4 linked regions of the Styela clava genome follow. The protein of the gene in region 2 purifies or fractionates together with the protein of the main gene of each other region. This does not show direct contact. Links are inferred from orthologs where the notes say so. Each region holds a gene or a part of one and is shown on either strand. Other genes may lie near its edges. The genes, in order: casein kinase II subunit beta, FACT complex subunit SSRP1-like, ATP-dependent RNA helicase A protein-like and uncharacterized protein LOC120338085.

Evidence for each region.
Region 1: the proteins of FACT complex subunit SSRP1-like (region 2) and casein kinase II subunit beta fractionate together in Homo sapiens (co-fractionation; 5 studies listed by BioGRID and IntAct, with this or other methods). This does not show direct contact. The link is inferred for Styela clava from reciprocal best matches to the Homo sapiens genes SSRP1 and CSNK2B.
Region 3: the proteins of FACT complex subunit SSRP1-like (region 2) and ATP-dependent RNA helicase A protein-like fractionate together in Homo sapiens (co-fractionation; 3 studies listed by BioGRID and IntAct, with this or other methods). This does not show direct contact. The link is inferred for Styela clava from reciprocal best matches to the Homo sapiens genes SSRP1 and DHX9.
Region 4: the proteins of FACT complex subunit SSRP1-like (region 2) and uncharacterized protein LOC120338085 fractionate together in Homo sapiens (co-fractionation; 3 studies listed by BioGRID and IntAct, with this or other methods). This does not show direct contact. The link is inferred for Styela clava from reciprocal best matches to the Homo sapiens genes SSRP1 and LEO1.

What each region holds. Positions count from the first base shown.
Region 1 is NC_135252.1:9,253,741-9,261,075, reverse strand, and holds the start of casein kinase II subunit beta, read right to left. Parts: upstream 3,004-7,335; 5' UTR 2,931-3,003; intron 1-2,930. Other genes in the region: NGFI-A-binding protein 1-like, read left to right, coding at 3,468-3,567, 4,979-5,136, 5,738-5,905, 6,763-6,879. UniProt on the Homo sapiens protein: Regulatory subunit of casein kinase II/CK2.
Region 2 is NC_135254.1:10,881,931-10,889,761, forward strand, and holds the start of FACT complex subunit SSRP1-like, read right to left. Parts: upstream 3,023-7,831; 5' UTR 2,815-3,022; coding exon 2,758-2,814; intron 1,185-2,757; coding exon 999-1,184; intron 624-998; coding exon 518-623; intron 128-517; coding exon 1-127. Other genes in the region: uncharacterized protein LOC144422860, read left to right, coding at 6,824-7,540. UniProt on the Homo sapiens protein: Component of the FACT complex, a general chromatin factor that acts to reorganize nucleosomes. The FACT complex is involved in multiple processes that require DNA as a template such as mRNA elongation, DNA replication and DNA repair.
Region 3 is NC_135252.1:13,018,550-13,025,694, forward strand, and holds the start of ATP-dependent RNA helicase A protein-like, read right to left. Parts: upstream 3,020-7,145; 5' UTR 2,640-3,019; intron 1,795-2,639; 5' UTR 883-1,794; coding exon 772-882; intron 400-771; coding exon 259-399; intron 1-258. UniProt on the Homo sapiens protein: Multifunctional ATP-dependent nucleic acid helicase that unwinds DNA and RNA in a 3' to 5' direction and that plays important roles in many processes, such as DNA replication, transcriptional activation, post-transcriptional RNA regulation, mRNA translation and RNA-mediated gene silencing.
Region 4 is NC_135250.1:1,320,436-1,327,538, reverse strand, and holds the start of uncharacterized protein LOC120338085, read right to left. Parts: upstream 3,022-7,103; 5' UTR 3,004-3,021; coding exon 2,881-3,003; intron 2,614-2,880; coding exon 2,508-2,613; intron 580-2,507; coding exon 523-579; intron 343-522; coding exon 187-342; intron 1-186. Other genes in the region: ganglioside-induced differentiation-associated protein 2-like, read right to left, coding at 6,591-7,103. UniProt on the Homo sapiens protein: Component of the PAF1 complex (PAF1C) which has multiple functions during transcription by RNA polymerase II and is implicated in regulation of development and maintenance of embryonic stem cell pluripotency.

The sequences.
Region 1 (7,335 bases), on a different chromosome or scaffold from region 2:
TGGCACATCCCGTTAATAAATTGTATACCCATGAAAATCTTAACGTAAATACAACTACACTATGAGATGAGCATTTCTCATTACCGGTTAATAGAATTATATTAATTGGACACAGTATTGTATCCAAAACCAAATCAATATTGGGGATATATAGTGATACAAGGATAATCCTAACAGTAAGGCATAAGCATTTTGTAATTGATGACATTATTTGGATTATAGGCAGCATAATGTTGTATGATCACCTCAAAATCAATATTATATCATTACAGTGAAGAAAAGAACAAAAGACTACAGCAAATGGAAACTTGGCTCAAGCAATCCAACCATCAAGAAAAAATGGAAAATGTGCTTATATATGGTTTGAGATTACTATGGAAATATTAACCCTTTCATTCAATACATGTTGGTAGCAGAATAACAAACACCGATTCAGTCTTCCATAAACATTCGCTGATAGCTACTGGTTATTTATAAAAATGGTCCTCGCTAAAATTCAAAGTGTTTGGCACTACTTCCTAAAAACCTTTATATGTTGTTTATTGTAAAGCATTCATTAGCTATTCTAAAATCATTATGTCATGCAACTATGGTTTGATTATGGAGAATATTCTCTCTAGAATCATTTCCAGCGGCCTTTATCATCACTTATCGAACTATTTTTTTGTATTTTCTGGTACACCAAGTAAAATTGGTGATATTCCCTTGAATAAAATGAACACAGCAGGTTTTATGGCAAGTAATTTGATTAATACTTGGCAGTACATTCTGTATATCAGTTTGTTTAAACTGGGAGAGCGGTACGACATCATTTGCTGACCAGTCTTCAATTCACACACAAATTGAAGACTCATACCAAAGATTACTTTACCGATACTATGGTTATACAGCTAATGATTCCTTATGTAATTTGATCATTAATACATTTTTTATTGGGCGAGTGGTTAATATTTATTATATTATATAACAAATGAGACAGTTCATCGTCAGTAATCAATTGCAGAGGGTTGGAAAGAAATGGCAACTTTACCTCTGTTGCATAATTCTATCACCCTCAATGTGACCATTCCCATATCCCCGACCCCGTGCCAATGGTATTATGAATCACATGAACGAAGTAAAGATTTAGTTAGATGCAAAATTGACATCCAGATAATATTATGATATCCTGTATCCGGCCTTGTAAACTAAAGTGTTGCCTACAGAATAACAGCGGGCCAAGGCAGCAGTGTAACATCACAATTTTACTGGGTGTGATATGGCCTAAGAATTTTTGAATATATCATTATAAAACGGTTCATTCCCTTTCAAATACCATTGTGCCTGTTGTACCTTTTCCCTTGTGTGATTTCAAAATATTTTAGTACTAAGCGATTTGACATAAAACAACCGATCCGTAATTCCTTAATGACTTCCATTACTAGCAGAGTTGGAATTGTAGACAACGGTCAATCCAGTTGGCCATAGCACACATTGTTTACACATTGTTTTGTGTTTTGTGCAGGTCAGTATGCAAGACCGTCGAAGATCATCAAGGCTCCTTGCCATTGCATTTAAGCTGTAAATAAACTGTCAGAATTGGTTGCGACAACATAACTATAGGAAAATTTTGTTCCATGATCCAACAATTTATAGCAGAATTATGAGTTTAGAGGACATGGGTTACATTATAGGGTGGCTTACCCGCTTTGCGGCCCCGACCTATTTGCGGCCATCAACTTCATCGATCTAATTAATGTCGAAAAAATTAGCGAACCGCAACGATATTTCTCACGCGTGATCGTCCTCTTGTCCCTCACAGCTCTGCGAAATTACACTAAAATGCGGCCACAAACAAAAAAGTTACGACCGAAAACCTGACCGAAGAAAAAAAACGGATTATTTTTTCTACTACCCATTTCCTATTGAAAAAACTTGAAAATCCATACAAATATAGGAGATAAAAAGATGAAACTTGGCAAGGGGGTAGAGTTGTGTTTCTTTTACCCATCTTTAATTTTTCGCGTTTCTACATTTAAAGGAGGGGGAATAGGGGGGTGCGCATTTCCAATACGTCGATAACATCTTTGTGGACCAATTTGCGACCACCGTGTTTTTGTCTGTTTGATTGCTTTGATGCGGTGCTTTGTATATAATTTGACAAGTTTTGTTCGAAATGACCGTGTTCTTAAAATATATGACGGTCAGAAATGCAATTAGAAGCCTAATTTTTTCACGCATGGCTGCGTATAGCTTATATATACAGAGAGAGGGAGAAAGAGTGATTCCACATGTTGGGACGAACATACCTTTAATTGTGATAAAAGATCTTTCTTTTCCGATTAAGAAATTAAGAAGAATTAAGCTTTGTATAGCTTAACCCCTGGTCGTAGAAAGTTACATGCCAATGCACCTACGGTGAAAAAATTAACGGGTTAGAAATATTGGTTTTTGTTTTATAGCCGTTTGAATGAAATCGTCCGCAGACTGGCTATACCACCCTATTCTGTACTGCGCTGTGATCTAGGCCTACCACAATATCGAAACCGGGCTCAATATAGAAAATGAATAAGAACCGTAGAAGACAAGGCAGTACAAATAGCACAAATTAAAGTATATTAAAATCAGCACGTGCGTTACCGGTATAACATTATCAGGTTATTGAGGTAGGTAATTAACCGTATATGATAATTCTCAGAAGAATAAAATCAAACTGATTCAGGAGCTATAGACATGCTGAGATACAATCAGAAGTTGATAATATAACTTCACCCATTTCCATATTTATATTACAGTCAGACAGTATTATTGAGATTTTCGATACAGCCATAGGAGTGGTTCAAATAAATATCTTAATGCTTGTTCAGGCTAAGCAAGAACTAGCCTACGACCCATTAAAATAATTACCAAGATCCTTTAAACAAAGCTATGTAGTTAATAAGCGGAATTACCTCGACGATCCCAGGAAACCACTTGAAACTCCAAGCCAAACAACGCAGAGTGATGGAAGTTCTGAAGTTGTGACCATGGTTTTGGCTCTTGCCTGCCATCTCTCGTTAATTTTTTTTTCATGTTACAGATCGCACTTCAAAACCATCACTCTATTAAGCTATTTTACAGTTTCAGACTAATTTTTAAAACCGATTACTTTACAATTTCATTTCTTATCAATGGGCGATCTAATTTAAAAGTTGTCTTTCTTTCTATCTGTCAAATGTTTTGCGATCGCATCGAGGACCCACGCGGGTTGTTTTGACGCCGACTTTTCTCTGTGATTCCCTTCTTCTCTTGATCGATCCGAGATGTCTCATCCGATCAAAGATGCGACGCAGTTTAGTTGTGCGTTCAGTCGCGCTTCGAGGGATTCCGATGGTTTTGCATTCGCTTTATTTATCTTAACTTTCCATTCAAACATCCACAAACCAGGAAGTTTAACTTGAGGTAGTAGGTTGCCGATTTGACTGCGTAGTTCCACAGGCTTTGTAATCATGAGTACTACAAAGCCTTCGACGCTAGGAGAGTTGCAATTGTTCAAAGTGTTGCAGCGAGCGAACCTGTTATCCTATTACGAAACATTTATTTCACAAGGTAAGTGAATATACAATTCATCAACTTTTGCCAGGCTGTTCTATATTTAAAAGTTTGTCATGTGTTTGCCCAGTTTGCGAACAACTTGCATTACTGCAGGTACCGTACTGTCGGACTGTACTGCATTATAAAATCACCTACTACTAATGTTAAACCTACAATTCTCACAATATACAAATATGGTCTAAAATATTCCCTACATGCAGACATGCTGCGCTTGAAATAAGTTCGCCGGACCCACCCGAGCTTCCAACTTTTTTTATAATGAAGATTATTTTTAATTTTTATGCTTACAGTCAACTTTTGGGGTCTGGTATAGACTAGTTTAGTTCCGCATGCACTTCTAGTTGGCCTGGCTCAATTATTTTTGCATATGTCAATCCGGGTCTAGTATAGTTGGTCCCGTAGTTTCCTACCTTACATACTCATAGCAGGCGTAGCACAACAATTTTTTCATGTGTCAATCCTAACCCCCACCTGACTATGCCACCCAAAAATTACGTCTCTACGACGTCACAGTGACGTAATAGAGACCTTCAAACTATACGAACTGTCATCCAAGACGCGCACGTCTGCGAACCCGAACTGCTATTTCTCTCGTTTTTTACGTCGCAACGATCTCAATATGAGAGAGATCGCTGACGTTAGTAAGTTCTTTATCGTCGGCGCCGATGCCATTTCGGACGATAGTATGTATATTTGACAAGCTCTATGACGTGATTGTGATGTCGTAGTGACGTAATTTTTGGATGGCATAGTCAGGTGGGGGTTAGGATTGATATGTCAAAAATCGTGATGCTACGCCCACTAGAAGTATGTTAGGTAAGAAACTACACGAGACCCGTATAGTTTATTACCACAAGTACTTCCAGTGGGCGTAGCATAACGATTTTTGCATATGTTATTCCTAACCCTCACCTGACTATGCCATCCAAAAATTACATCACTACTGCGTCACCATCATGTCATAGGGATTGCCAAAGTATGATTACGATCGCCCGGAATGGCATCTGCGCGGCCGATAAGAACTTGCTAAAGCCGGCGATCTCTCTCCTATCGTGATCGTTGCGACGAGAAAACGAGAGAAATAGCTTGCTCGATTTCGGGGTTATCGTCTGCGCGTTTTGGACGACCATCCGCATACTTCGGTGGGCCTTATTATTACGCCACTCTGACGTCGGAATGACGTAATTTTTCGGTGACGTAGTCAAGTGGGGGTTAGGATTGCCCACTGGAACTACTTGTGGTACTAAACTATACTAGACCCAACTTTATCTTTCCAATATTAACAATTAAATTTATCGCTGTAGATTCATCATGATCGCAAAACCACAATGAACATATAAATGGAATTCGATTTTGTGGAAAGTGCTTTTGTATTTCAACTAATTATTATCGACCACAAATCTAGGTGGCGATGATGTGCAGCAACTTTGTGAAGCTGGAGAAGAAGAATTTCTTGAAATTATGGCGTTGGTTGGAATGGCTTGCAAACCATTGCATGTTAGAAGATTACAAAAAGCACTTCAAGAATGGGTTACTCGGCCTGCTATGTTTCGAGGAACAAGTGTATGTTTCTTTGAACAATATTTTAAAATTTTTATGCTTCACATTTGTTATGAAATATTAGAAAGGCACAAGAATCCATTCGTTGTCACGAATAGCAACTGTTGGATTGGATTCTTGATCGTGATAAAAACAGCACGAACTCTGTTATTTTATATGTTATCTTTCTTTCTCGGCCATTTTCATATATAATGCTGAAGTTGGTAGCTGATTTTACAGTCCAATCTCAACCTATAACAGTTGCAATTTGCCAATTTATTAAATTAACTAGTTCACATTTCCTTATACCAGATGAAAAATTGAATTCATTCTATCTCTATCCCAAGCAGTTATTTTTTTTACAAGATTTTGCATCTTTAGTTATCTTGAAAATAGCCCAAGTCGTAAAATATGCGCTTAATAATATACTAATTGTGATCTGAAAATCCATATATGTAGATTTTATTTGTTTGATACAAAGTGTAAATTTGTTCTCCTTATCTATTTTAGTTAGGTTATTTCATATCTGTGCTTATATACACTACACATATCACAATCTTTGAATTCTTTAATATATAACTTCACATTTTTAGTATTATTAAAGTTATCTTGTTTTCTATGAAAGATCAATTATCTTCCTGCTCAAAGTATTCCATTAACATCACTTGGAATCGATGCTAGAGATCTTGCAGGAATGTCAATCACAATTCCTAATAAAGCCACCTCTCCCGGTTTTGCAAGAGAAACTAACGGTGCTCTCCCGGGACAAGATGAACTTTCAAACAGACCACTGGTAAAACTTTTTTAATTGCAGATTAATTCGTTAGATTGCTATAACTTTTTTGTTGATTGAGCCAAATTTTGTGAATATCTCTGTGATGTGATTATATTTGAAAAAGATCACCATTTTCATATGATCAATATTATTAGGTTTTTTGTCAATCCTTGTTGATATGTGCGTGTGTCAATTTTGCTAACACTTTTCTATAATTCTCGATGTCACAAAGAATTGCTTTCACTATTGCTATATTTGCATTATCAGAAATGAACCATACCACATTCAATCAATATTCTTAAAATTTCGATCCTCTATTTGGTATATATCATATTGCTTTAAAGAAAATGGCAATCATATTCAACAAAATGGACTGCTTATGCTTGCAGCTTTAGCCAAAAATTTATGGTTATTTTCAATATCTTAAATATTTAACATTCAGGAATTATAATACAGTTCAAATTCAAATTTTTTTGGCATTTGAGAAATTGTACAGATTTTTGTTGTGATTGGGATGAAGTAATTTTTGGTGAATATTGAGTATTAATAAGTTAAAATTAATGGGATAATTCGTGAATTCTATTAATGGTTGCTAGAAGTTAGTTTTATATCAATTGAGTTTTTACCTGGAATTTTTTAAATTTTACTATAGTCGATATATGTATATTCTCATATTATATCCAAAATATTTTGGTTGCCTATTTATACCAAAGAATGAATATTTTGACTTTAATATTTCTTATATAACTTATATTTCTTTTTTCTACATTGATATCGAGAACGTTTTATCGAAAGTAACATTGCATTTACGTTTCGAAATGTATAAACATTATTTTCCTGTTCTACTGTGAAATTGATCAATTTTTTATGTTAAGAGCGTTGGTGGATCTGCCATGACGTCACCTAAATCAATGAATGGATTCGGAAACGTGTTTAGAATAGACAACAATTCAAGGAAAGTTAATGGCACAGGAGATATTGATGATGCAGAGGTTTGTCATCTTGCCAATAGAATTGTATATGAAGTTAAAATAACAGTCAAACAAGAAGGGAAATATGAGTAGGAGCTCATCTTGTGAATTTATATAATATATATTTATAAATTTTTGTTCAAATTGTTGTAATATGTACATTGAATAAAATCATGTATGTGATATTTTACCTACGGTAGTTTTTGATATTCCTGAATAAAGGATTCAACCTAGTTAAATATAACTCAGTTGTAAATTCCTAGGATCTTTGTTATTTTTCGCAGCAATACTATAATAATTTGCATTTTAGGTGTCAGCACATGCTTTGATGAAAAAAATTGATAAAGATGATAATTTTTCAATAACCAAACTATTATATTACCATATAGCAACTTTACTTATGTCTGAGGATTGCTATTGATTTGTGTGTATGATATTGTCTGATCTTGTTTCATTTTGAAATCCTTTTCATAAAAA
Region 2 (7,831 bases):
AATTCTGCATCATCATTCTGATGAAATTCTAATGAAACTTCGTTTTTTCCTGGTGTACATTGTGATACATTTTGCAATGGAATTTCAAAAGCTCTTTTTGAGTCAACATCAAACTGTAGTTCATAACCTATAAATTGTCATAAGTCTTCTTTTAATTTTCATATCGTTAAAAAAACAGAAATTAAACATAATATCATTGACATTCTCAAGTCTCTATACAACAGTAGACAAAAAGTGAGCGATTATTACAGGTTATACTTTAAAACAACCCATTCAAATGCCCGAATATTCTTAAATAATTTAAGTCATAAAATATTACTTCAATCATATTATTAAAAGATCTCATGTCTGCTACCTGAATTAGCGTGCAATGAAATATTAAAGATAAAATTAAGATTCCAGTTCTTGAAAATATTACGATTACAACCAATTTGAAAGTGCATTTTTGTGTATGGATTTACTCAGAGTGATAGTTCAATCACATATGATGACAAATTTGAAACAAAATGTAGCCTACCATTGAATGTTGTATCACCCCAGTTCCATCCTTTCGCAGACATGTCTTGTTGTTCAATTGTAACATTGTAATTATTTTTCACATGCTTATTGATCTTTTCAAACTCCTGAAATTTGTATGTTATTGATATTGTATTAATAACCACAACACAACAATCATAATATCCCAAACATGGTGGAATAGCATATAAATTTTGACAATGTTTGAAATGATACAACTATCAGTAGAGGTGCGCGAGACTAACTCCCAATCCTTTCTCAATGTCTTTGCGCCAGTGGATCTGTATGCGTGTAACGCAAGAATGCTGTAGCAGGAATAAAATTGCATATTTTAAATGATAACTGGAAAATACCAGCATATCCGTTACAGGAAAGAAAAAAAAAATGGTTAATTGGGGATGCAAATTTTTCACTATGTAATTACGGTACTCAGAAAATAAGTTAAGCTATGATACAGCATAAAATATTTGCAAGATATATACCGCCTCTTTGAATCCATCGTATTTGCAAGAACGTCCGTCTGTCAACTCAAGTTTCAACTCATATCCCCGAGCAACTCTTCTCCACACAACACTCTCTATGTCGGATAGTGGAATTGTTTCAACTTTTCCAGTTTTTATATTTTTGAAAACGACATTATTATTGTTAAGCCGGAGTCTACCTTCATGCTGAAAAATAAATACCATTTAAATTTATAAACCGATAAAATATCCATATCATATGAAGTTATTGTCCTGCTTAAAACATTGGGAAAAAAATATGAAAACATCACAAGTTACAGATCGCTGGTTCAAATCCCATGATCTCACCTCACCAGAGGTGTTACTAAATTAGGTAGGCAATGCTGTCCCTGAAATAAAAGTCAGTACGGCACAGTTATAATAAGATTTTGCATAATCATCCCGGAGGAGAAGAAAGCCGATACGATGGCTCAATCATAGGGTGAACCACAGTATCTCGTTTAGTTACCGTACGAGTCCATGACGAGTATGAGATTAGTTAGCCAATTATTTGTTTGAGATGGATGAATTTGGTGTTGGAGGAAGCCGTAGGTACGGTAATTGACCAGCTTGCCACAGTTACCACCCTATAATGGCAAGGAGTCCAGAAATCCTCTCGCACATAATTGTATGGCATAGCCTACTGCAGCACTGTTTCACATTTGACACCAAACAAAAACTTTTTATTGTGATTGGGTGGCTTACCCACTTTGCGGCCATGACCTATCTGCGACCATCAACTTCATCGATTAAATTAATGCCGAAAAAATTAACGAAACGCGCCGATATTTCTCACGCGTTATCGTCCACTTATCCCTCGTAGCTCTACGAAATTACACTAAAATGCGGCCACAAATAAAAAAGTTATGCCCGAAAACCTGACCGAAGAAAAAAAACGGACCATTTTACCATGTCGCCAACTACCCATTGTTCCTTCAAAAAAGCTTGAAAATCCATACAAATATAAGAGATAAAGAGATGAAACTTGGCAGGTGGGTAGAGTTGTGTTTCTTTTACCCATCTTTAAAGTTTCGCGTTTCTATCTTCAAAGGAGGGGGAGTAGGGGGGTGCGCATTTCCAATACGTCAATAATATCTTTGTCAACTAATTTGCGACCACCGTGTTTTTGTCTGTTTGATTGCTGTGATGCGGTGCTTTGTTTATAATTTGAAGAATTTTGTTTGAAATAATCGTGTTCTTAAAATATATGGCGGTCAGAAATGCAATTAGAAGCCCTTTTTTTCACGCATGGCTGCGTATGCCCTAGTCTCGACGCAGCAGAAACGATGTTCAAGGCTTGAAATCCGTGGTCGCACACTGGTCGTTCGGTCGCAAATACGTCTTCAGAGTGTCGAACTTTGGTGGTTTGTATAGCTTTAACCCCTGGTTGAGAAAGTTAATTCGAAGTTCAGCGTGTAGAATAAATGCCAATGCACCTACGGTGAAAAAATTAACGGGTTAGAAATATTGGTTTTTGTTTTATAGCGGTTTGAATGAAATCGTCCGCAGACTGGCTACACCACCCTATATCACAGAATAAATTTCTCATGTATCCGATAGTCTAGATCAGATACCGGTACCTAAGTTTTCGATTCGAAGAACTGAAGAATAAACCCCCACATTAAAAGACATCAATTATAAGAGTGAGTACCTATTCCTCCCTTACAAGACAGTCAGTGAAGCTATGGCTATGCGCAGTAAAGGCAAAATGATTAACAATGACAACCCATGATTGACTCACCAACGCGCCTCGAATTTCTTGATAAATATCACTGTAATCCAAAACGCTGGCCGACATGGCAGCTTTACTTGTGTACAGCAGAAGTAATCCAAAGTTAGATCTTCACCAATGAGGCAAAACTAGAAGTACCGGTACTTGTTGTAAAGACTAACTCTATCACAAAGCCTCAAGCCAACCTTGGTTAGATCAGAACAAAGTGACTATAAGTTATAGTATAACACTTTATAGTCACTTTGGATCAGAAGCCTTCAGTACATGGAGTGAATAGAGGGAAAATCCCGCGAACAGTGGTGCGTCCTCCAGCGGAATCTGTAGAGTTCACGAAAAAGTATCTACAATCAAGACTTTCTACAGAAACCTGAAAAGTCGTTTCCAACAAATAATTAAAGAAGACCCGCATTACTGTAATATGTTACCAAGGTTTTGTTCGGTATAGTTAGTGTAGCGGCCATGATTATAAACAGTGACCGCTATTATTGTAACTAAACTGGCAACGGTAACTTAGGGCATCGAACCCTGACCATTGATGTTGGCGGGATCTCTTTCGGCGTGAGCCGCTTGGAGGTAGGACGTATAAATTTGTATCTTAATCAATCGGGGGGGGGGGGGTTAGTATTATTAATTAGGCGTAGTTTAAATTTACATCATATAATTCTACTTCCTGTTTCGTATAGTTATTATTGGTCCCTCCTGTGTAATAGCACTGTATTTTACCGGATTTCTGTTTGACAACTATTGCACCATTATCTGACTACTATTTCACCAACTTTTGACTCAACAATAAACATCTTTGGACAATCATTTTGAACTTTGAAAGGAACTCAGACAGAACCGCGTCATCAAAAATAAAGTGCCTGTACGAGCTATTTATTCCAATCACTCTAACGAGCACATCGCCATCGTATGGTGCTGAGCCGTTATAGTTAGAGTCTTAAGTATACTGTATAACTGTATAAGTAAGAGTTATTATTGGACACGTTTAGTGGCAATAACGATCGTTTCAATATTATTGGACACGTAGTGGACATAACGATCGTTTCAATATTATGTTGTTCTTGTTCTTTGACACGTTTTTAAAAAGTCGCTTTTCTCTTCAAATACTGGACCAATTGCTTTGAAATTTTCAGTGGTTAAAGATTAATTTTTTTGCTAGAAGGCTATTACTTTTATTTATTTCAAAATTTTGCGTGAATTCTATGAAATTTGATATTTCGTCTAAAATTTTGCTGTATTATTTTTTATCCATGGGAACACGGATTTTAGTCAGTGTCATGACTGGCTGTACGTTTTGATTCTGCAAAATTCTTGCTACTGGAAATTCAGAACTTTTTTGAGGGTACCGGTAGCGTCAAAGGTACCGGTAAGGACTGATTCGCTCTGGTCTAACGTGTCCATATATTTGTGCGTAGCTCTCTTGTGTTGTTGTTGTTCTTTGACACGTTTTTAAAAAATCGCTTTTCTCTTCGAATACAGGACCAATTGCTTTGAAATTTTCAGTGGTTAAAGATTAATTTCTTCGCTAGAAGGCTATTACTTTTATTTATTTCAATATTTTGGGTGAATTCTATGAAATTTGATATTTCGTCTAAAATTTTGCTGTATTATTTTTTATCCATGGGAACACGGATTTTAGTCAGTGTCATGACTGGCTGTACGTTTTGATTCTGCAAAATTCTTGCTACTGAAAATTCAGAACTTTTTTGAGGGTACCGGTAGCGTCAAAGGTACCGGTAAAGACTGATTCGCTCTGGTCTAACGTGTCCATATATTTGTGCGTAGCTCTCTTGTTATTAAAGATATTGTTTTTGTGTTTCAAGTAAAAAATCACAGCGACTTCACCCCGACTGTTAAAACGTAAATATATACTACTACGTTAAAGCTATGTACACTGAAGAAATAATATTGTGTGTGTGTATATATCAGTGTTTCCCAACCCGAGCCCGCGGTCTCAAATGAGTCCGCGAAGCGTTTGAATGAGTCCGTAACGAGCCAGAAATTCACTGCGGGTCGCAAGCGATTTTGCAAAACTTAACTATCAGCCAAGTTACGATTTACGTTAAAATTTACATAAAACATACCAAGCAAGTTTATTCACATAACATTAATGGAGTCAATAATCACTGGTTACAGAGTAGCGCTGGGCATATATTCGAATATTCAAGTATTAGAATAGCAATTCAACTACAGTATTCATAAATTTGGTAACAGGTGACGCGATAGGTCACTTGCGGGTAGCTTAATTTAATCAAACGAGTGGATTTCACAACTCACTTGCGGATTTCCGACGAAAACACGCGCCGATAGATGACCTAAGTCCTAAGTGATATTTCTAGCGAGTTCGAACAACGAGGAATAAATTTTTTTCTGGTGTCGAGGGTTGCAACCCAAATTTCCTTAATTGAAAAAAAAGTAATACTAAAAATAAAACGAAAAACACCATAACTTTTGTTTTATGATTATCCGCTACCGATTAAAAACGCTTGCAAATCGCAAAACTTGGTTGCTTCACTGCTACCGTAGTATACCTACCAGGGCATTTTCCCTTAGGATTCTTTGCTTTACTGCCTCGACATTGGTACGTGCAGTACAGGAGCGCCGTAAGTGTTTTAGAACAGCTCAGATTTGTCGAATCCACAAAAATGCGAATCAAAGCAAAATATAATGGGGCACTTTACCACGCATTTTTGTGTCCACGGATTGTCATGAAATTTTCTGAGTAGTATTGCTTTTATTTCGTCAACACAACCGCAGATTAAAATGATCACAATTAAATTAATAATAATAATAACCCAGGGGGGTTCGACCTCATCTCTACTGGCTGGGTCCCCAAGGTGGCGGATAGGGGAAACACCTAGGTAAAACTAGGTCAGCTGTGAATATTCAATAAGCAGCCCCGGACCAAAAAGGTAAAATTTAAAATGATAACTCGACATAAAAAAACTACATAGAGGCTGGGGCGACGCCCTCTATAAAAAGGTCCCAAAAAAACATTGTCAGTATTTCTACTGACACACTCTCACATCACGATATAAGTGGTCCCTCAACAGAGGATATTCCTCAACCGAGCCCCATACGTGAAATATCGGAAAGAAAAGAAAAAATTAAAAAACATCGTTGGAAACGTGAAGAGTATATACAAGTGATGGAAGCGTACTACAGAGCTGTGAGCTCTTCCCCAAAATGTATTACTAAACAAACACTTACAAATTGGCTTGAAGGACCCCACTCTTTGAATGTCCAAAATATGAAAGCAAATGGACTTGCAAATGTCCGACGGGATATAATTTGAAATAACCGACTGACAGATATAGAACTGAAATCCATCAAACAGAAATACTTGGGATCAAGGGATATGAGTCAAAATGACAATGTACATGACGAAAATGGCCTATGTGACAATGTACAAGAAATATTACAACTGCCATGCATAAACTCACCTCAACAAGATTTTAAAAACAGACTCAAATTGCCAAAATTACAATTGACGAAAGAAACTAAAATCTGGCTAGCAGAAGGCAACGAAGCTATTGCCCTTTTGAAGCAAGATTTGGAATTTGATCTGGATGTTACTGAAATATCAAACATTATTTATGCATGTTCAACTATGGTTACTGAAAAAGTTGGAGCAATAATTAGGAAACCCACTGGACCAAGGCACAATTACAAGGCAAAATGGAAAGTAAGAATTGAGAGCCAAATTAAACAAATGAGAGCAGATTTGTCTATCTTATCAGAAATACAAAACGGTAGTATTCTTAATAAACGAACAATGAAGAAAATAACAAATCGGTACAAATTAGATGGGTTACACAGTAATATTGCGGTAATCAGAGAGAATCTAAAGCAGAAAATACAACTCAAGGCGCAAAGGATGGATGCAAAGACCAACTACTAGTAAATAAAATGATTTTGGAAAATTGCAGAACTTATCAAAAACACATGAGTACCGCATGGATTGATTACAGAAAAGCGTTTGACAGTGTACCGCATTCTTGGCTTTTAAAGGTATTCGAAATTTACAAGTTGTCACCTATCCTAATTCCTAATCTCTTTTTTCAAAATTACAATGAAAAATTGGCAAACAAATTTGATCCTGAGGCACAATGACGGAAAGATACAAAGTGACACCATTTCGATTTCATGCGGAATTTTTCAAGGAGACTCGTTTTCACCTCTTGCGTTCTGCCTTGCCTTGGCCCCGCTTAGCACTTTGCTGAAAGAAACCGGTTGTGGCTACGAAATTTTGAAACAAAAAATATCTCATTTATTTTATATGGATGATTTGAAGCTGTATTCTAAAAATGATAACCAACTTGAAATGTTATTGAAAACTTTGAAATCATTCAGTGATGACATCAAAATGACATTCGGCCTCGAGAAATGCGCAAAAGCATCTTTTCGCAAAGGTAAATTATTTAGAGAATCAAATTTACAATTAGATCAAGAAACCTCGATAAAAGAACTCGGTAGCGATTCAACATATCGTTGCCTTGGAGTACATGAAGCTGATGGAATCAGACATGAAAAAATTATCAAAAAGGAATATTTGAGAAGACTTCGATCGGTTTTGAATAGTGAACTTAACTCTGTAAACATCTTCAAGGCAATTAACAGTTTTGCAATACCAGTAGTTTCGTACAGTTTCAATATCATCAAGTGGACTAAGCAAGAAATCAAACAATTTGATACCAAAACGAGAAAACTAATGACGATAAATAAAATACATCATCCTCGAGCAGACACTGAACGTTTGTACTTATCACGAAGGGTGGACGAGGTCTGATTCAAATTGAGGAAAGTTACAAACCATCTACTGTAGGACTGAAAATATATTTGACCGATACAGAAGATCCACTAATGCGCATCGTGCGAGATTTCGATAAAAATAAAAATAGGCGTTTCAATCTTCAACAAAACTGATGAATTTATGAAGAAAACTGGTGTTACTAATTTCTTAACTGAGAAAAAAGGTGCAAACAAGATGGCAAAAGATGTCAAGCTCAAGTATAAGAAAGAAATTTAAAAGCAGAGACTAAAAATTTGGCATGATAAACCCTTTGCATGGAAAATATCC
Region 3 (7,145 bases), on a different chromosome or scaffold from region 2:
CATGTTATCATTACATGTACAAGTAGTCCCCATCATATTTTCATGTGAAGTTATTTTTTCATGGCAATTTTTTAAAGAAATTAGCATTTTGTCATTTTTTTTAAACAAGTTCAAGATTTAGGTTCCAGCTAGTGACAAAAGATACTACTGTATAAATTTCAAATCTCGAATGGATATAATACAGGACAAAACATATAAGAGAAAAAACAAAATATCCTTGAATGATAATCATGTATTTATATAGATATAAATACGAACCGATTTTGGGGGTACTTCAGAAGGCTTCATTTTTCCAGCTCGAACAAGATAATTAACAAAATCCCAGGCAGCGTTTGCTTGGGCATCCTTCTTATTTGTTGAGTTTCCTATTCCAGCATAAGGTATTGTATCAACTCTGAGCTAAAAATAATAATAATAGTTGAACATAAATTAAGTTTGATACCTAAAGAATTATAAACTTTACTATATTTTCATATTATATGTCTAAAATAGTCAAATCCAATCAGTGAAGCAATTTACATATTACAGAAATGAAAAAAACACTCGAATATTCAAAGCAACTCAAGACTGCATGTCATTGGCAATATAAATAGTTTTTCCTTATTACCAAATTGGCTTTGTTAAAGTTAAATCATCATTAATGGAGCAAAATTTATCCCAATCCACTCATGTGGCAAATAATAAGTTTATTCATTTCACCACAAATGTAGTAAATGGCTTGACAGTTGACACTTCAGTTGAAAAATGCAATGAACGATATTCTCTGCTTACCTCACATTTAAATCTTGGTTTATACTTGTTGCCACCAGCTTGAACATCATAAACTGGAGTTAGCTTTTGTTTTCCAAGCCATGAATATACAAATGTCTTGACTTCAGTCATAATGAAAAAATGTCATACTACAGAGAGACCTTACGATATTCAACTAATAATATTAAAAGGTATTGACAAGATACTTGCAATATAGTTTTTATTTAGAAGAAACCTAGCTTTACATTTCAAAACCAATAAACACATTAAACTTCAATTTCAATTCGGAAAAATCAAGTAGCATCACCAAATTTGCATTAGAAACTTAATGAGATGTTACCTCACTAGGAACATTCGGACAATAGGTTTGGAGTGCATAATAAACGACAGTTAATGAAAGGTACAAAAATTGAAGACTTTTGCATAATGTTAGAATAGAAAAAATAAAAACAAGCATCAGCTTTATAAAACATATAATATACATTAATATATAGGTTTTTTAAGAAAGAATTGCCGAGTCTAAAATCATTTTATATAAAATTTGTGTCAGAAATGTAAGTTTTTTAAATAAATACTAGTTGATATTATACTCATACAACAATCTTATGTTCTAAAATTAAAATCAAATAAACATTAGAGATTAAGTATACGACAATCAAAATATTTAAAGTACCAAAGATCTCAAGCCAATTTTTTCCGTAAACAGTATTAAGGTAGGTATCCTGACCTGTACATTATAGATACTAATCTCCCTCAAAATAAATAGGAAGGTTTTTATTATCCTGATCTTTCGATAACTGTTTCAAGTCATTAGCTAATACAACAGGTAATCCATCAAAGAGTTGATCAACTTTCGAGTCAAATGTAGCAATAGAGGTATATTCACAATTTACCACCAAGTAACGGTGCAAGTAGTTCAAGCATATTTGCCTTAAATTCAAAAGAGGATTCACAATTTCAACGGAATGAAATCTTTGATGTTCTCCACTCCATTCAACAGGAAAGTAGATTTTCTCAAAGTTAGGAAGGAAAGTGAGTGGATGTCTGAAGAAAAAAAAAACATATACTCTTGAGTGGAGAGTGAATGCAGGAATATGAATAAATTTCTCAAGCAAAGAAGGAGATTAAATAATATTTAATCCTACTACAATACTAGACTATATTCAAAGAAATTAGTCTAATCAGAATTCAAATCAAAAATGTAGTTTTAACATTCAGATCGTCGAGAGTACCGTTCTTTCAGCAAAACTGATATTTTCACAATGGAAATCCAATTTGAAAATGAAGATAAAATTGAGAAATTGAAATATTTTGCCATAATCTCTCATCTGGCTGTGAGTTAAATGCAGAAAAGTGGTTCGTAAATTTAGAAATTACCGTAGGTTATACAATGATACAGTTCATGCATAATGTAGGTAATTGCTGAATTACCGTAACCATAATTAAAAATGAAGGTAAAAATACCGGCTAACAGATTAATGCCTGAAATCAATAATCGCAAATAATGTTTTCTAACATACTGACATACCGGTATATAGTAGGGTCATGAAGAATAATTAAATGCTAAACATGGAATAGAGTCATAGACTACAACTAACCCAACGCTGCAATGTACCACAAGACATTTCTGCATTTAGGTAGACTAGACACTGCTGTACAGCAGTACAGAGATGGGTTAAGTACGGTACCTTGAAACCTCACAAAATCTATTATTGCAGTATTGCATTACCAATCCATGCATCATCTTTCAGTCTCTGTATTAACAATTGCTAGATTGCAGATTATTCTTGCCACATTCTATGACAAGAATTTTACGAATTTAATGCATATTTTCCGAAATTACTCCAGTACCGGTACCGTACTCTCCACTCTGAACATCCATACCGTACCTGCAAATACTCTCATAAAAAACCCAAGGATGTGTCTTGAAAGTATCCATCAATATATAATCTCTTGGTTCTAATCTGTCTTTATACACAACATGATTTCCCTGAAAGTTGAGCCATTCAACAGAAACGTTCCTATCAGTTTTGTTAACAAATTTTGCAAAAGCAGGGTTTTGAGAATGTTGAGATCGTTGGCGTTGCTGCAACGGGAAATCGGACATAATGCATGAATTGACGACGAGGCACTTACAATAAAATCTAAATACTGAAATATACCGATACATACAGTTTAGTTCAACTCAACCGTCAACTTAATTCAGAAAATTAAACGCTGGCGAAGACAGCAGTATGAAAAATGTATTCGCAGCCATTCCAGAAATAGAAAGGACTAAAACCTACTAAGGCCTACTTGGACGTAGAACTGTAGAATGTGGTTAAAACAGGGAAGTCTTTCAAGTTAAAACATGGTTCCAAAAATGGTAAAGGTTTCTCGAATCACCAAATTGCTGGCTTGGCCTACACATTTATATGCAGGTTTTAAGTTGAAGCTGAAGGCGCCGGCTATGAGAATTGCGAGATTTTCAAATATACAAAATATGATAACCGATATCCATTTACTTATAAATATCAGTTATTTTTTTCCGATGCATGATAATGGACTTTGTTCGGCTAAAATTTGTGACCTCCGCCAGAGTCACTTTCAAAAAGTTCGTTCGTAGTTCCACCAGATTCGTCATGTCTTATTCAAGCGCTGCACAATACAATTTATTTACGCATTAGGATTGCTGTGGACATGGAGAAAACGGGAATAAAACTACGCTCCGTAACTACAGTGTACCACTCATACTGCGCATTGGTCAAATCTCGCGTTTATAACTATAATTCGACGACTCCATATTTGTTCACAGAAAATAACAAACTCGGGCACTATTCTGCAAGCCCTGCTCACGTACTGAAAATTATAAAGTCAAGTACTGTACAGTCCGGCATCATTCTCACGCCGAGCTTAACCCATTATTAGAACATGCCTAGGTTTAAATTACCAGTAGCACTATATCATTTGAAAAGTTTGCCTTAAATATCACTGATTTTTAGATAATCTTAAGACCTCCAATTTAACGTTGGGAAAGGAGAAATAGAGTAACATACTTAAACCATAACATAATCAAAGAATTATGATTGCTATTTTATAACCATACGCCTATCAAAATGCAACAATGTTTGTTGCCATTTTTTAAATTCGCATCAACATGGAGTATACCATAAAAAACACATGATATCGCCGGGCCAAGGGATCGTCCGAGTAATTACTTACCTCTTCTTCGACCGTTTTCTAATTTGATCACAGTTAATTAATAATGTGATATCGCTAATCAGTTTGAGCGGGAATGTGCGCTTCGCTTTTCTCAACCATTCACTGGAGTTAGTAATGACGAACGGTTTGTCTGTTCTGTAGGAGCTTTTCAACGTACCGTAGTCTTTAATTTTTTTTGGCGCAACATTACAACATTAAGGTAAGCAGATGTTTTTTGATAAAAAATATATATATATACTAAGTCGCTGGTACAATTCTGCTACTTTTGGTATTATGTTTTATAAATAGCGAATTATAAAACTTGAGGGGTTCCGGCAAATCAAGATTTCAAGTGTCGATAATCGCGAGATAAACAACATAATCAAAAAGGTTGAAGCAAGGAACTTCCGAGATAAAAGAACAATCTTTTATGAAATCCAATTTAAACCTAAACCAAAGTTTGATTCCCCGGTGAGACAATTTTTTTATATATATTTAGATGGGCATACAAAGTTGTACGGACTAATCAAGTGGGACTTGGTTACCCGAATAAGTTAGACTTTTTTCATTTTGCACAATGTTTCTTGTTTTATACACATTTGTAATTTGGTAATCTGTTGCATTCATAATGTGGGTCGATAGCAGTATATAAGTTCCATTCCCATACGCTCAATTGCAACCAATGTTTTAAAATGTCTTTTCGTTGTTCCTGGTACTACTATGAATATCACGTTAGCAACACCCGTTTCATATAGCGTCCAATTATTAGAGTAAATTAGTGTAAATTTCATTGTACAAAATTGAAGGTCTATGCGAATCCTTTTATATAAAACGTATTACATATATATTTTAATAAATAAAAATTGTGTGAATATATTTATTTATCAAGTATTTATATTTACCGGTAGATATACTGCATGGTTTGACAATTGTGTGGATCATTGTTGTACAAAGAAATATCGACTATAGACTGGGGAATTTACGTTTGCAAACATGCGACGATAGTCGTTACACAGGGGTAAATATTACACGCTTATGTTATATAATAGATAATCTACAGCAGGGGTGTCAAACTCGTGGGTTTGAAGGCCGCATTGCATTTTGGGAATTGTGCAAAGGGCCGCAAACAGATTTGATATATTTTGATAATGTATACTTGAAGCATATTTTAAATAGGTGTAGTTTGTGACATATACTGTGATGCAATTAAACAGTCAAATGAAGTTTTGTTATTTTCTTAAATTTTAAATACCATTTACATATTAATTTTTGCATTTCACTATTTTTGCAATTTACTGTATTTATTACAAAAATTTTATTTTATGTATAACTATCCAAAATATTTTTGAACAAAGTTTTGATAAGGAAAGAATAATACATACACTAAAAATGACTTAATCTAAATATATAGATCTAAAATTTACAATATTGCTACAGAATGAACTCAATGTTTTTTATTGAACATGTCCTGACTTTTGACATCTCTTTTGTGCCACCAGCTTACTAATATCAGGCTGAAATGATTTTACAGTATCAACTCTGATTAACGAGGTCACATGATCATCGGTTAATCTGGATCGTTGAGAATATTTGATTAATTTCATTAATGCAAAAATATTACGTTCATCATTCCATGTATAGATCAGTAAACAAACAAATTTTAGAACCAAACTTTTCCCGCCACTACCTTCACGTGGCATAGGACCGGTTGAGTTATGATTGATATTGATATTTAGTAACTAAGTATGGTATAATCATAATAGTATACAAACACATAAATATTTTCTGTTCGTAGTTGATCTTTAAAATTGTCATATTGACTGCTGAGCTTATTCTGATGATGTCTACTCATATTGTATTCTTTCATTTTACTGATAGAAACGTGAAAAATTGATCAATGCGCTTTAGAATTTTGAGAAATGCAGAAATATTGCAACTCCCCTTTTATTTAAAATTGCCACTTTTTTCATGTACTTTGTGTTTCATTTAATTCCCGTAGTGTTTTTTTTACAAGTATTCTTTTGCTAGCTTGAGGTGTATCCATACATAATTGTGTCAAATTGAAAACAAAAACATTCAATTTTCCAATGTTATAATTGTCGTTTTCTGTGTGAATAAGCAGTTTCACTTTAGGGTTTGAAAAATGTATTACATTTAGGTAACAAAATATATATTACATTTATTGTTAGGCGTTCGAGGGCCGCATTGGAAATTCTCTGGGGCCGCATGCGGCCCGCGGGCCGCAAGTTTGACACCCCTGATCTACAGCTTATCTGGCCATTGAAATAGCATATAATCTCTGGTCGGAGCCTTAGAGATAACCCGCCAAAACACTTTGAACTAGCAATATTTACCTTGTAAAAAACTTTTTATTTTATTTTAAATAGACTCCATAAATCGAATATAATTTAAGTTTATGTTCACCACCAATCAATAAACGATAATATCGGTCGGAGACCGAAGACTTATCGATCGAAACTGCGGTTTCGATTCATGGCTCTATAGTGACACCGCGTGTCTCATCACTAATTAATTAATAATTCGCTAATTATACGACATAATTTATAAAATGTTTTTCTACTTTAATTTCAAATTTGAAAAAGCGGGCCGAGATGATTCTTCAATGGCTTGTTGTGAAAACATTCTTGACGTGTTTATTTTTCAAGAATTCAATACATATAAGTAATAATTTTATCAATGCATTGCAACAGTACATTGAATTTGCTTACCCAATTGACTGGATCACTGAGACTATAGTAGGCTTTAAAATATTGTTATACTATTTTCAAAATTAATAACAGCAGGTGTTATTGATTTTATCCTTTCTATTACAGTTTTTTTTTCATTTCCAAGTAAATGAAAACTAAGGCTAACTAAAAGCTTGTTATCGGTCGTGCTCGTTGGTTGTGTCAATTTACAATAGAAAATCTATCAGGATAGTGTATTGTTTTTTGTATATTTTGTTTCAATGACACAGCTCATTTTGCTACATTTACGAATTTTCAGAATAAACAAATAAATGAAATTGAAACTAATCATATTTTTCTAGAAACAAGACAAATTTAAAAAAGAGAACAAAGCAACAAAGTAAGCGACTATAAGGAACAGTTGTTCTACTAGGCCGATTTGCATGGTAATTATTAATTGAATTATTATATTATTGATCAGTTAAGTTGAGTAAAAAAGTAGACTTTGTCAAATTTCACTTTAAAAAT
Region 4 (7,103 bases), on a different chromosome or scaffold from region 2:
TAAGTAATAAAAGTTTGGGTTTGCTTCAAGCCTGCAAATCCAGTTAATTAGTCATGCTCGGGCTGGGTCGGGTTTAATACCAGCGGACCTGGGCCGAGCTGAAATTTTTGGGCCCGATTTTGCCTCTCGTAAGTATTACAAAATATTAATCAATATCATATTATTAAGCACAAAACCAGCACAGACCTGCTTCACCATCAGAATCTGAGTGTACAGGGGTTTCCCCTCCAGCTTCACTCCCACCTTCATCAGATTCTTCTTGTGCTGCTGTAGGACTTTCTTCTCCCCCTGAAGCCTCTGCAGCCCCTTCCGCCTCCTCCTCCCCATCAGAACTATCATTGCCTGAAACAAATTTGAGAATATTAAGATTTCTTATGAACAAATCGGGCTCAGCAGCGTTTCCCTACAGTCATCTATCTAAATCTAAATGTTTTTTTTTTTTTGGGGGGGGGGGGTGTACTCTATATTTGTGTGTAGTTTTACTAATATTTTTTAAGTTTGTTTAACCGGTAATATAAATACCTGATGCTTCTTGAGTTTCTTTGTCTTCGGTTTCTTCAGCATTTTCTTCATCACTCGCTGTGTAAAATGATAGGTTTTAAAAAACCTTTAAATGAGCGAATAAGATTTTCATTCCAAGACGAGCAAAGTTTAAAAAAAATGACCCTATTGTGATATCAGGTTGGGTATGGGTATAATTAATCACTTATTTGCTTGAGGTCCGTACATGAAGTTGTTTAGTTAAACTTTAACTTCAAACATGGTTTACTATTGCATTGTTGATAAATGTATCTCCTCACTTCAGCTTGCGCGAAAGCCTGCTTAAAAACAGTGAAAAACTGTCTAAAAACACCAATAACCCTTCTAAAACGCTTGAAAACAGTGAAAAACCGTCTAAAAACATCAATAACCCTTCTAAAACGCTTAATAACAGTGAAAAACTGTCTAAAAACACTAAGAACTCTGCTAAAACGCTTAAAAACAGTGAAAAACCGTCTAAAAACACCAAGAACACTGCTAAAACGCTTAAAAACGGACGGAACGTCTGTATACCATTGAACAACCATATTGGCTTTTGTATATTCTTAATTAAACATGGCTCATTTAAAATACTTGGAATATTACATACTACTATTTTTAAATGTAGGCTGGAATAGTTGTATGTATGTATGTTTACTTGCCTCAAAAATGTAACAGTACCTGCATAATAGTTAAACAGTAAAACAAAGACGAGATACGTGTACAAGACCTTACTGGCCTAACACACGGATGTGTAGCACCCCTAACAAGTATAACAGCAGTTTAGGACTGCTGCGTTATAGTAGGACAACAGACATGAAATATACAAATAAAACTCTGGTTTAATACACAAGACAAAGAGGTACGACACAACGACGATATGCACAATAGTAAGTTTATGACATGTCCATGCCCCAATGGGAAAATAGGGAATTAATCGCCAATTGATGTTTTTACAATAAATCTCATGAAACACGCAAAGATTTGTACTTGGGTTGGGACCACGACACGAAATAATTAGGTAACAGAAGGTTAAAAAATTAGTGAATGACACACATAAACTTCGTTTAAACTTGAGCTGTTTATCATAAATTGCACGAGATGAAAGAAATGGAAACAATGGAGAGTTTATCATAAAATGTGGATCCATTACTAAGCCATTACTGTATAGAATTTATTGTCACCACGGCTCAATTCAATTCAGTTTTAGCCATCCTTGTACACACACATAACAATACATTTCCCGTTGTCGTATGATTTTAGATTCATTCATTCACGTAATACCATGGGGTTAAAAGTTTTAATGCATGACTGTTTTGTCATAAACAAATGCTAATTAGCATTATGCTATCACAACTCACACCCACTATCTTTTGACATTTATAGTTATTATGTCATAGGTAATCAATCACGAGCAATGAAATGTCAAATATTGAAGGCATTTTTCGCGACAACATGATAGTGTTATGTCATGTGAAATTTTAAAACAAAGTAATTAATGAGTTCAAATGCATTCTAAAATAAAATTTGAAATCATGGAAAATAGAATATATTCTGAAGTCTGTCAAAAGAACACATAGTAGTCAATGTTTATTTACAAAGTTTGAATCTGAATTTTGATTAGTTTTATATCTCTTATGAGTTTCCAAGAATTCCAAGATAATGGCCCGTTGGCAATATTATGAGACTTCAATTTCTGAAAATTATATCAAGAATTCAGAATTTTACCAAAAATTTTGCTGTTTTATTTTAATTTGAGGGAATATTCACATGAAATGTGATTGCAATTTTATATTCTCTGACTGCAATGCAAATGTTTCCTCACTTTTATTTATTGGCTTTTTGATATTAAACAGATGAACCAGTTAAAAGCAAAACTAGATGTTTTTATGGAAGAGAAGGGGGTCCCAAGCATTGAGAGTCTTCGATGGGGCCACGAATCATGAAAATATGAAACCACTGTATTAGAGCATTTCCCTCTATTTTACCTTCCTGCTCGCCTGCACTCTCCTCCCCACTTTTTTCTTCTTCTGCCGAGCTTTCCTTTGACTCTGCTTCAGATCCACTTCCACTTGCCACATTCTGGTCAGCCTCCTAAAACATAGAAAAACAATGAATCTTTTATGGGTAACCAAAAATTATTATACAACGTTGCGTGAGTAATTTTGTTTAATCTTGTGGCAGTAATTATGTGCAAGAAGATTGCTAGACTTCTCTCCGTAGTAGGGTGGTTCATTGAATGCTTGTCAGTTGCAGTTTTCTCCACCATCAAGTCCATGCATCTGAAATAAATCACTGATGGGTATCGTGATCCCCTATTCAACTGGACGGGATACCATGTTCCAACATACAACTCCTAACCTCCTCTCCGCCATCACTTGATTCTTCTTCTGCACTTTCTTGTTGTTGTTCTGTTGTGTTCTCTACTCCCTCTTCATGCTCTTCCTCACTGCTACTTCCCTCCCCAAATAATTCTTCGTCCATTATATATAAATTTTACACTAAAGGTCTTAAATGCAAAATCAAAATTCAAATCATGGTTTTTATACAAAAAATAAACAATTTTACATTCAATTCATAAGAAAGTGATTATAATCAGTCAATAAAGGTTTTTAACATAAAAGCTTGCAAAGTTATCAGTGAAATGGTTTACAGATAGTAGACAGATCACACCAGTGGTTCTCAAATGGTGGCACACCCCACAAGGGGTAAGTAGGAGTGAAGCTAATTGGGCTATTCCAAGTGACACTACATGACAATTCCAGAAATTTTGCATGTTGTTAGATGCAATATATAGATGCAACTTCTCCTAAAATTCTGGTAATAAATCGTTGAATGGGTGAGGAAATGTCTTACAGCACTGCAAACATTTAAACTTTATTAACCTAAATTCAGTGCGTCTATTTCATATGAAATAACTGTATCACACAATCAAACACTTTGTGTCACTACACTTTTGAAAAAAAATTGATGGAATTCAACTTTTGCTTGGAATGGCCCAATTGCGGATAAAAATATTTGTTAGGTTTGATCTTGCCTGCCTTAATATTGATATTCATATTTCTTTATTCTATACATTTCTTTAGTAAGTACACATATTTTCAACATGTTTTTTGAATAAAACATACTTTCGCCTTACTTTATGTTATTTACTGTTACTACAACTTGCATTTTAGCAAATTATTTTTTGAGGTGGGCATAACTTTTGACTAATTCTAAGAAGAGAAAGTTTCACAAAGTTTGAGAACCACTGGATCACAATCAATTAGACTCTATGTCATTTAGACAGAAGAGTGGAAAAAGTAAATAATATGGTTTAATCGAGAAAAAAAATGAATAGAGTACAGCAACGGCACTTAAGGCAGAATTATTTGCTTTTCATAATTATTCTGAGGGGTGGAAAGCCGGTAGAGCACTTTTTTCAATTTATATCTTGAGGAGAGGAAAGGTGTAAAATGGCTCAATTGAAGGACAATTAATGGAATACAGAATATGGTAAAGGAGCCTAAACTTGAATTATAATCTTCTTTTTTCCCATTTTATTTTGGGGGAAAGAAAGCCTATAGGACGGCTCAATTAAAAGGCCGTAAATGCCACAGAATATAGTATTGGCGCCTGAGCCAGAAAATGATAAGAATATGAGAAGGCCTAATCAAAAGGCTATCAATGCAAAACAGAATATACCGTATTTGCTCATTCCGTAGCCCGGGCCCATATTGTTTTCAACCAACTCACTAACCGGGCCCTTATTCAAGCACGGGCGCTTGTTATTTTCGATCGTTACAATAATTAATATATTGTTATTTCCAGTTCTCAAGTATGATTTAAACAAGAACAACGAAAACTTTGACTTTTTCTACGGACCGCAGGTACAAATCCGCAAAAGAAAAGCTTTGCGACGCCCTATCAATATTGCACTTGGGACGCGACACCCAGTTTGAGAACCATGGTGTTATGTAATCAATGCTATCTGTTATGTACTCGGACGCCTAACGCGTGAGTGTTATCTACCGGCGCCCAAAATTCAACAGCGTTGTGACAAAAGCGCTTCTTATTTCCTATTGTTCTCTACCACTGAAAAATCAGCTTTTACATCGGGTGGGTATTCAAGCACCGGCTCTTATTTATTTTTATGTTCTGTTCACACGGGCAGCTATTCAAACGGGCCCTTAATCAAGATCGGGCAGTAAAACGAGCATATACGGTAGTCTTCATAGAAAAAGAGAAATTTGTATTCTGAGGGGCCAAAATTAGAAGCGGAATGAAATTTGCGGGGCGGGAAAGGGGAACGCCCACAAAAGGTTGATAACGGCTTGTATAATTAAGATACCGGTATAAGTGAATTGCTACTAATATACACATGCTTAAACTGTGATGATGACATAACAATTGGGGTGTTGAACTATTTCAGCGGGCCATATCAAATCCTTACATGAGCCTTTATTACGCCGCAATTTGGAAACCACTGCATTACAGTTAAGCAAATTTAGATATGAATATAAATATTCAAATACTGCTCAAACACAGATAAAAAGGAGTGTAGTACGTATAAACTACAGAACCCAACATGATATAATGTAATATTGCACAATAATTGGATACGTATGATGTCACAGGATTTAAGTTCACAGCTCATAATGAAACTATTCATGATGCAACAATGGTAATTAATATGACTATAATTTGACACAAAAAATATGGATCAACATAAAATTTTTTAGAAATATTTGGGGACATTGATTCACACAAAATATCAGGTTTGGTTACTTTCCTGTTAGACTTGTGACTTTGCATTAAACAAACATATGAAAAAGTTGGGTTGAACTATTATTCAGTTGCTCTATCTTATTTCAATCCAAGATTTGCTCAATTTGAAAATATATGAGGTTTTATACTATCAAACTGAAACAATATGCAGAAATACTTCAATTTCCACCCTGTGAGAAATTTTGTCTTTCTTAGGGAAGAATTTGTATGTGCTGCAGTACAGGTTGTCCATAATTCCTTTTACAATTTTCAATTCTGTAATGAAGTCAGTTCTCAATATATCTTAACCAAAATTGTTGTATGTTAATCAGTAATTGTTCAAGTACTTTTACTTCATTTAATACATCTGTGAGGGCAAAACAATATATGGTATCGATAAATACCCTCTGCAATTTTAAAAAAATTCAGAAGACTTTATGAACACCCTATATTGCTAGTTTAACAAACAAGGTTGGGAACGACTTAAGTGAACGAGTAAAATATTTCCAGTTGATTAAAACTAAAAACATTTGTGGGGCAGCTGAAGTCTGGCTTGATTTACTAACTATTGCAATTTCTCTAATAGCCTACTAAAATTAATGGTGCATGACTGGCCAGAAAAACCAAATATAATTTACAAGTACAGAATGCTGTTATTTTTCGTCATGTTTTCTTTCAAGTTTGGATAAGATATACTAAACTTAAGATATGTCCATGCAACATAATCGTAATCCCATTGATAGAAAAATAGTATAGAAACAAAAAAACTTGTAAATTTAGGAAAAATCTCAAGTCAATTGCAATGAAAATGCACCAAGGATTAAAAAAGATAATAAAATGGTTGCTGTCAATTGTATGGCTGAGAAATTATACTTCATGGAAATCAGATTGGGGGGCCAGTATTTGAAGAATAATAAGTGATTTTTCTCCCAAAAAAAACAGTGATTTGATTTAGCAAAATAACACATAGGCCAAACTCAAATTGGACCCTTACAGTCCTACATGAAGAAGTACTATGAAGACCAAAGCAAAGACTTTTATAAGGTAGCATTCGCCACATTAAGACATAGAAAATAAACTGTGATTGTTTAAATCTTCGAACGTAAAGCATTTATTAGTTTGCTTTCCTTTGTTGGCTTCATTGAACATGATGAAGCGAATAACTGATAAAACCTGTTAAAAATAAACTATTTTTATACTGAAAAGAGCAGGGAAACCATGAAGTGTTGATAGTCTTTGGGAAGGGGTCATGGATTAAGGAAGTTTGAGAACCACTGGCCTAACTAACTCATGTAACAAAGTAACAGCCCTTCGTGAAAATAAAGTCAGAGTGTTCCATGGGCAACTTGGTTGAAGTCTGACACTCTAGTAGGTTTTGCATTCCTTTGTCCCAATGAATTTGTTGGACTTCTCGTAGGAGAAGAACTGTAGGCTTGAGGATTCGTTTTCATATCATAGGTCAACACAAACGGGGGAACATCAATTTGATTCGGTGGGACGATTTTATACAATTCCGGCACTGATCGAATATTCATAATCCGACTTTTGAGGTCACTGACGGAAAATGACGCAAAAATCCAAGTTGTAATTTTCATCATCGTGTTGGTATGGACCATACATAATCTAGAAAGATTCGATTTATAGCGATAATCAAAAGTATTGTATAATTTCTTCAAATATTCTGAAGTAGGTCGATTGAACTCTAGCGTCTGCGTGTGAAAGTACACAACAGTGTACGGATTGTTCACAATAGGGTCAAAGGTCAAAATGAGGTATAAAAGAAACTTTTCTAAATCAATCTCATAAAAATTGAGGTGTTTTCCAATTATTGAAATAAC